Lonchura striata: one gene and its partner. The main gene of each other region encodes a partner of the protein of the gene in region 2 in a complex. Links are inferred from orthologs where the notes say so. Each region holds a gene or a part of one and is shown on either strand. Other genes may lie near its edges.

Evidence for each region.
Region 1: the proteins of PDHA1 (region 2) and PDHB are in contact, whole or in part, in a crystal structure (PDB 3EXE), measured with the Homo sapiens proteins. The link is inferred for Lonchura striata from reciprocal best matches to the Homo sapiens genes PDHA1 and PDHB. Residues at the interface, in NP_000275.1 of Homo sapiens: Ile87, Arg88, Gly89, Phe90, Glu137, Leu138, Thr139, Gly140, Gly148, Lys149, Gly150, Gly151, Met153, His154, Asn164, Gly165, Ile166, Val167, Gly197, Ala198, Asn200, Gln201, Gln203, Gly228, Met229, Gly230, Thr231, Arg235, Ala236, Asp296; in NP_000916.2 of Homo sapiens: Glu59, Gln62, Tyr63, Ala66, Asp84, Pro86, Ile87, Ser88, Glu89, Met111, Phe115, Gln118, Ala152, Gly153, Val154, Ala155, Ala156, Gln157, His158, Pro297, Val323, Arg324, Val325, Thr326, Gly327, Ala328, Asp329, Val330, Met332, Pro333.

What each region holds. Positions count from the first base shown.
Region 1 is NC_134614.1:15,787,170-15,791,076, reverse strand, and holds the start of PDHB (pyruvate dehydrogenase E1 component subunit beta, mitochondrial), read left to right. Parts: upstream 1-1,601; 5' UTR 1,602-1,630; coding exon 1,631-1,762; intron 1,763-1,916; coding exon 1,917-2,024; intron 2,025-2,095; coding exon 2,096-2,158; intron 2,159-2,241; coding exon 2,242-2,277; intron 2,278-2,389; coding exon 2,390-2,675; intron 2,676-3,361; coding exon 3,362-3,472; intron 3,473-3,907. UniProt on the Homo sapiens protein: The pyruvate dehydrogenase complex catalyzes the overall conversion of pyruvate to acetyl-CoA and CO(2), and thereby links the glycolytic pathway to the tricarboxylic cycle.
Region 2 is NC_134604.1:101,797,823-101,801,729, reverse strand, and holds the start of PDHA1 (pyruvate dehydrogenase E1 component subunit alpha, somatic form, mitochondrial), read right to left. Parts: upstream 2,965-3,907; 5' UTR 2,964-2,964; coding exon 2,802-2,963; intron 1,580-2,801; coding exon 1,565-1,579; intron 184-1,564; coding exon 115-183; intron 1-114. UniProt on the Homo sapiens protein: The pyruvate dehydrogenase complex catalyzes the overall conversion of pyruvate to acetyl-CoA and CO(2), and thereby links the glycolytic pathway to the tricarboxylic cycle.

The DNA of each region.
Region 1 (3,907 bases), on a different chromosome or scaffold from region 2:
TCCAGCTCTGTGCCACCCTAACCAGGGAGTGAGGAGGAGGAGCATTCTCAAAACAACCAGTTACCAAATTTTCTGGCAATTCAGGAGATCAGCTTCACTAAAGAAAGCACCTACCGCCTTCAACACATGTCAAGTTTATCATGACTAATGCAGTTTATTAGAAGTTAACTTAGCTCTTGCTTTTCTTGACCTGTTTTTTACTAATACACAGTCTTTACCTCAGGCAGGATGGAAAAACACTCACGCTAGCCACTCAACATTTTCACTCCTTTATGTTTAATTGCTTCACTATGAATTCCAAGCTCCTGAAGTTTCCATCCCTTGCCCAAGGAGCTCTATGACATTCTAAGTCCTGATTCCAAACCTTTATTTGAGCCCACATTCCAGTACAACTTTGGCCCTCCTATAAGAGACCCAAAAGAGGACTCTAAATAGCCAGCCTGGTCCTGCTGAAGCAACCCAAGGCACTCAGCCTTCCAGGACCAGTTATAATAATTGGGGTTTATCCATGTACTTTGCTTCTGTGATATTAACCAATGTTTTTCCAATGAGAAACATATCTCTGAACAGTTTAGGCGGAGGGCAGGCGTCAGAAACATCGAATCTGCCTACACACAGGTGGAGCTTAGCACACATACGGACCAAGGAGTGACAGGTACGTGGGACAGCAATCCCCCTGAAAGCCCAGAGTGGGGTCCAGGGCTTCAGCAGGAGCCGGGAAGTGCCCGTTTCCATGCCAGAAGGGCCAACGAGACCGTGGTAAAAGAACTCTCCCCCGGATCAGAGTGATTCAGCAAAGACGCTGGAGCTAACCCGTTCTGCCTCTCTCCCCGCTTTAAAGTGACCCGGGAGTGCACGGCCCGACCCCCGCCCCGGCCGGAGCCCGGCTCTGCCTGCTGTGCCGCGGGCGGCAGGAGCCGCTCCCCGCCCGCTCCGCGGCAAAGCCCGCGGTCCCGGCCGGGATCCCCGCCGGGCGCCGCGGCTCTCACCCGGGCATCCCCGCCGCGCCCGACCGGGAACGGGACCCGGTACCGCCTGTGCCAGCCGCACCCGAACCCGGGGCCTCCGCTCCGTGCGCCCGGCCGCGCACGGCCCCGGAGCCCGGCCCGGCTCCTGCCGCGCTCGCCGCCCGTCCCGCCGCGCTCCCGTCCGCAGCCCCGCCGGGGCAGCCCCGGGCTCGGCCCCGCGCCCCGCGCCCGGCCCGGCACTCACGGCGCAGCTCTCGGCGCTGAGGCGGAGCCCGGCGGCAGCAGCGGCGGCGGGGACGGTGCCCGAGCCCGGAGCGGAGCCGCCGGCGCGGGCGGGGACGGCGCGGGGGCGTGTCCCGGCGAGCCCCGCCCCGGCGGCCGGGGGCGGGGCGGCGCGCCCGGGCCGCGCGTTCCCGCCGCCCACGGGGCCGCCCGGCGGCTCGGGCGCGTCCCCGCGCGCGCGTCCCCGCGGGGCTGCGCGGGCCCGGCCGGGGCCGCGGGCGGGGCGTTCGGGCGCGCGGCCCCGCGGGGGCCCCGCGCGCCCCGCTGCCGGAAGTGGCGCAGGGAGGCCGCGCGCCCCTCGCCGCCGTTCGCGCGGCGCGGGCGCTCTCGCGAGAGGCGGGGGCGGGGCCGGCGGTGCAGGGCGAGAGGACACGGGCAAGATGGCGGCGGCGGCCCTGCGGCACCTGGCGCTGCGCGCCCGCCCGGCCCCGCACGGCCGCGGCGCCGGCACCCCGCTCCTGCGGCTCCCGCAGCGCCGGGGGCTCCGCCTCTCCGCGCCCGCCGCCATTCAGGTAGCGGGGAGCGCTGCCGCCCGAGCGGGGCTCGCGCCCCTCAGAGAAGGGTCTGGCCCCGGGGCGGGCGGGCGGTGAGGGGACTTCGGCCCTGGGCCGAGGTGACTCCCGGCGTGTGGGGAGCGTGTCCCCGCTCAGCCCGCCTGTCTCGCAGGTGACGGTGCGGGACGCGCTGAACCAGGCGCTGGATGAGGAGCTGGAGCGGGACGAGCGCGTCTTCCTGCTGGGCGAGGAGGTGGCACAGTACGATGGCGCCTACAAGGTACGAGGGAGGCGTTGGCGGACAGGGAAGGGGCCTCAGGCGGGCGCTGACTCCTTTCTCCTGCCCTGCAGATCTCCAGGGGTCTCTGGAAGAAGTACGGGGACAAAAGGGTGATCGACACCCCGATATCCGAGGTCAGGCTGCCCTCTCTCCTATCGTGGTGATCCCTCCATCAGCTGCTCCCTGGTGCTTATCCCTTGGTTTTCCTCTCTTTCAGATGGGCTTTGCAGGAATCGCTGTTGGTGCTGCTATGGTTTGTACATTTGCATTTCTCTACTTCTGGTTTTAAAGGTTAAACTGTTTTTATGTCAAATAGCATACTTCATGCTTTTATGTAAAAAAACATATTTCAATACATTTAATAGGCAGGGTTGAGACCAGTGTGTGAATTCATGACGTTCAACTTCTCCATGCAAGCGATCGACCAGGTGATCAACTCTGCTGCCAAGACCTGTTACATGTCTTCAGGATCCATCTCTGTTCCCATCGTCTTCCGGGGTCCCAACGGCGCCGCGGCCGGCGTGGCTGCCCAGCACTCGCAGTGCTTCGCCGCCTGGTACGGCCACTGCCCCGGCCTCAAAGTCGTCAGCCCCTGGAGCTCGGAGGATGCCAAAGGGCTGCTGAAAGCATCCATCCGGGATGATAATCCAGGTGAGCCTGGAGGTCGTAGCAATACCTGGCAGCCGATCCTAAGGAATGGCTGGTTTTCCCCACAAAAACAAAGATTGGTTAAACCTTAAAGCGCTCAAGGTTGATTGGCTGCAGGTGTAGGGTGTGTAAAAAGACACAGAGGGATTAATGCTTTCCCTCCATGCTAACAGAGTGATTTTGTACTGCTGCACAGGCATCAACCAGGAAACCTGGAAGCATTTATAAATCTACCATAAAGGGTTTAAAAAGGGTAAAGATGAGTTAGGAGGATTATATTATTATATTCCTGCATATATAGTGCCTATATAACTCAATTTTATAGATCATGAAATTTAAATGATAAATTCAGAATGTCCTTTTTTAAGAGCAGGGCAACCTTTGACTTTCATTTTTTCACAAACAGTAATTAAAAGTTTGAAATCTTTCTAAAACTAGTGACTGTACTGTCATGTACCAAAAGTAAAATAGCTCACCTAATTTCTGAGTAGTTTTAGAAGTTTTTTAAAATATTTCATTATTGAAGTAAAGACTTAAGATTTACATTTTTTAAAATTCCTTCTGTAAACATAGTCCTCACTCCCTTGTTGCCTGGGTGGGTTTACTGTCCTGAGCTGCAGGACTGTTAGTGGTCAGTGCAGGCCTGTGCCTGCAGGTGTACATGCTAATCCAAGTATGTTTCCTTCTAGTTGTGATGCTGGAAAGTGAATTACTCTATAGTGTTCCCTTTGAAATGTCTGAACAGGCACAATCAAAGGAGTTTATTATTCCCATTGGAAAAGCTAAAATAGAAAGGCAAGGTAAGCTGAGAATGCATTTGTTTCCTTATTAATTGACATGCTTGGAGACTTTCTAACCTTTGTCTGTTCAGGGTACTGCTGTCACGGGGCAAAGGAAAGTATTTCAAATATTCTTTTATCCAGTAGTGTGGTTTCGTGTTCTGTTGCCCTTACAAGGAAATATTACCTGATTGTCCATCTCTCAGCTTAAAAAACTCCATAAAGGATTTGTTCTGTAATATAGATTGGGTAGTGATGGCTCAAACAGTTTTCTCCTCACCTAAGTATGTGATTTTGGTCAAAAATGCAAAAAGAGATCATTGTAGTGTTTCAGCCCACTTGTTCATAATTTACCCCTGAACTATATGAACTTTTGAATAGGATAATCTGAAAACTATATTAAATTCAAGGGCAAAATTTGTGTCTTAACATGACCCTTCCGCTCTTCATGTTATG
Region 2 (3,907 bases):
GGTTCTGGAAATTCAAACCGTATTTTCTAACTGAAAGAGACACGGGGACCAGTCCATCAGGTTAAGATCTCTAACAAATGCTTACAAAAAATGCCAGTATTAAGTGTTCTTTACCTTAATCTCAAATGTAGCTTCACTTGCGAAGTCTCCATAGTTACGTGATGCTACCACCACTCGAGAGGCCTTAAAAAAAAGGCAAAACCAAAGCATGAGCAATGTTTAAATGTCATTATCAAGTAAAAGTATGTGACTTTTCAAGTAATTTCTAAGAGTACTCCCAAAGTGAAATAACTTATAAATTAGACTCAGCAGTGGCATATCCCAGAAGACTAGGGAACTTTTAGTCTATATATCAAAATCCTTTAAAACCCATTATTTAAAATTAAGATTAGAAAAAGAGAATTTAAACTGGTAATACCCTTGATTATCTAAAATAAACCTAGTAAGTATCAAAACTTTTGACAATGAAGATCATCAAAACCACAAAAATAATTTTTTATCCCTTCACATGCCAGGCTGACAATATAAGGAGAGACAACCAACACAGACTTTGACTGCTGACTCTGTGCTAAATGGAATTTTGACTAGATAGAACAAAAAAAAAAAAAACACCCAAAACTAACCAAACAAAAGAAATACAGCAGATATCTGAAATGTAAACTACTCTCACTTTTTCTTTTCAATAGGAAGAGAAATTGGGGGAATTCAAAGCCATAAAAATGGAGAGAGAGAGAACATCATTTCTATGACAGCATGGCCAGTACTATGGCTACTCTAATAACGTGGAAACACAGAAGGTTCCTGAGGATACAAGAAACACAGAACAACAGAAAGGGTGGCATGGTAGAGGAGAGATAGGAAGGATGTCTAAAAATACATTACTGGTCCCTCTGAAAGAAGGAACACGGGCTGTTGACTAATGAATGGTGGTGATTTGAGATGACTTTAGCAAGTTTCACTGCAGCATCAGACAGGATGGCCCATGTCCATGCATGCACTGTGGCCACAGCATAAGGAACACTGCATCTTTAGTGGCAAGACTATACTGCTAATTAAGTTACACAAAAATTTCAGTAGCTCCTTCAGCCAGGAGGTAGATTCCAGCTGAAGGTAGATTCTACCAAAATTTTGAGAATGTTCAGGTCACCATCTCCAAAAAAGCTCTGACTGACACGTGTCAAGCTTGGGAGAAAATTCTCAACCCATCCTGGTTACCTCCTCTGTTGCATATCGATCAGATTTATCAGTAACACTGCCCCCATTCACCCTGCCCTGTTATCAGATTAAATATTTAGAAGTTTTAATTTAAACCTAGTTTCTACACTATTTACCACAATGTATCAGTATTATCAGTGAAGAAAAGCTATTTTACTTCTAGAGCTGGAAGTAAATCCACAGTATGGATTAACAGTATCACAGAATGGCCACGGTCAGGAGGGATCTCTTTAGGCCACCTGGTTAAACTCCTGGTTAAAAGCACACTGAGGAGTCTGAACCAAAGCCCTGATATGTAGGCAGTACATCTATCAAAAGTAAACCTTGACAAGACTGACTGAGGCCTTACCTCGCTAACGGCTCCCTAGGTTAGCAGCATTTGGAAGGGAAAAAAAAAAAAAAGAAGAGTAAGTAGCTGTATCAAATAATGAGGGGAGGAGAAGTCAGCAAATTATTATCCAACTAGAATAGAACACTGCAAGTGCTAGTTTCTATACATGGAAATCCATCTGTACACTCTGGAAAATGCTCAAAGCATATATGAGATACTGCTTTATAGATTAAGTCTGCCTCTATTTATTTGCTAATTTATGCCTTCACTGCAGAGCCATAGGAACAATACAAGACAAATATTTACATATTTGGTAAGCAGTAGGATCCAAAAAATCTTTATTGAAATATCTGAACCAGATTTACTTTGGCATTCCAGGAGAACACAGTATCTCCAGAGCAGGCCAAGTACTTGCAGTAACGGACAAATTTTAGGCACCCATATTTGCAAAATTTAATCTAGAAATTCTATTGTGAAGTAGGAAATACTCCTAGATATGCAGCCCAAAGAGAGATAGTGACAGCTTCCAGTAAATTTTCTCCCCTGTGTTTTTCTGATGGATGCAGTCATCCTCATACAGTGAATGCCTGGGTGAGAGAGCTGCCTCGGAAGGGGGCTGCAGCAACACATCTGCTCTCCATGGCAAAACGGCTCCTGATTTCCAGTTACCAAAAAAGTACCTTTTAACTCTGGCCTTACCAACAAGTTTTTTTTTCAGCAGGGTTAATTTTTCCTCGTGGCCACAGTCATTACAGTGGAATAAGCTGAATGAAGCGGTAAAAGCACAATTTTTCACACAACAAACATAAAATACAAGAAGTGACACTAATAAAAAAATAACGAACTTTGAAACACAATTGATGCAGAGGTAGAAAGGGGCCGCTGGCTGAGCGAAGGGAGGTCAAGCAGTGCAGTCAGAAGCTGAACTGCAAGCGGGCCGAGCGGATCGCCCTGCGGGAGCTGACCGCGCAGTCTAAGTAAGCACGGCCAGTATCGATCCAAGCCCTGCGCCATTATCGGCTTAAGAACCGAGCTCCTGACGCGACCACCATTTTACTGTCACTTGGGCTCGTCAGAGCGAGGGAAAGAAAAACCAACGCGGTTCTTTTCCCCATTAATTTTTCCTCAGCCGCTCCCTTCCGCCGCCGGGCCCCCGCTCCCGGGCCGCTCCCTCCGTCCCTCCCGGAGCCGTGCCCCCTCGCACCGCTCCGCTCCCGGCCGGGCCGCACCGGCCGCACTCAGCGGCCGCGCTCACCGTCCTCCCGGCGGCCGCCGGGCCCTGCAGCAATCGGGAGAGCGCGGCCAGCAGCATCTTGCGCATGGAGGGGAGGGTGGGCAGCGCTGCCCCGTCCGCCGCTCTCCTGCCGCCGCCTCGGCCGCGACCGCCGCCCGGCCTGCGCCCCCGCGCTCTGCGCATGCGCGGGCCTGCGCTGCGGCGGCCGCCCGGCCAACGCCCCCTGCCGGCCAGAGGCGAAATGTCATTAAAGGTCATGAAAGGTCATTAGTGTGGGGGAGATCGGGGTCCCTCACGCAGCCCCGGCGTCAAGGGGTTTGGGATCTTCGGAGGAATTTCTTCTCAGAAAGCGTGATTTGGCACTGAAATGGGCTGCCCAGGGGGCCGGTGGAGTCACCGTCCCCGGAGGTGTTTAAGGGAAGAGTGGACATGGCACTCAGTGCCGTGGTCCAGCTGACGTGGTGGTGTCGGGTCATGGGCTGGACTCGAGCTTATCAGAGATCTTTTCCAGCCTCATTGATTCTGTGGCTCCGTGTGAGCGCATTCCCTGGCTTTTAAAAGTATAAAGTGTTGAAACGGTTTCCCTTTAACGTCACAGGCATCCGTCCCTTGGGAAATGCACAGCAAAGTTAAGATTTAACTCGGTGTTGCAGGGTCCTCCCACCGTATGACAGCTGCCGATCTCTGCAGCCAGCCAGCCTCCGTTCCCTGCCGGCTGCGGGGCACGCCGGGGGCGGAAAACAAACAAAAAAACAAAACAAAACAAAACAAAAAAAACACCCGGAAAGTAAATCTCATTCACCTGTTGGCAGCACAAGTGCTTGTGTCTGCTGAGTCCTTGATTCCTGCGGGTTGCACAAAGCTCAAGTGCAGCACAAGTGATTAATTTTTAAAGCATAATTTCCAGGGAAAATGTGCCTCTCAAACTACCTCACCTCCATCAGAGAGGACTGAAAGTCCTATCTGTTTCCAAAATACAGCCTCATATGGATCCCCACTGTACTGTTCACCTCCTTCCTTGGCTTCCCCCCGTTCCATTAATAAAGACACTTGTGGCTAATGTGATTTTTTCCCTCACTTTGTCTGTAACACAGAGTAGGAAGGAGGTAGCCATCTCTCATCTCATA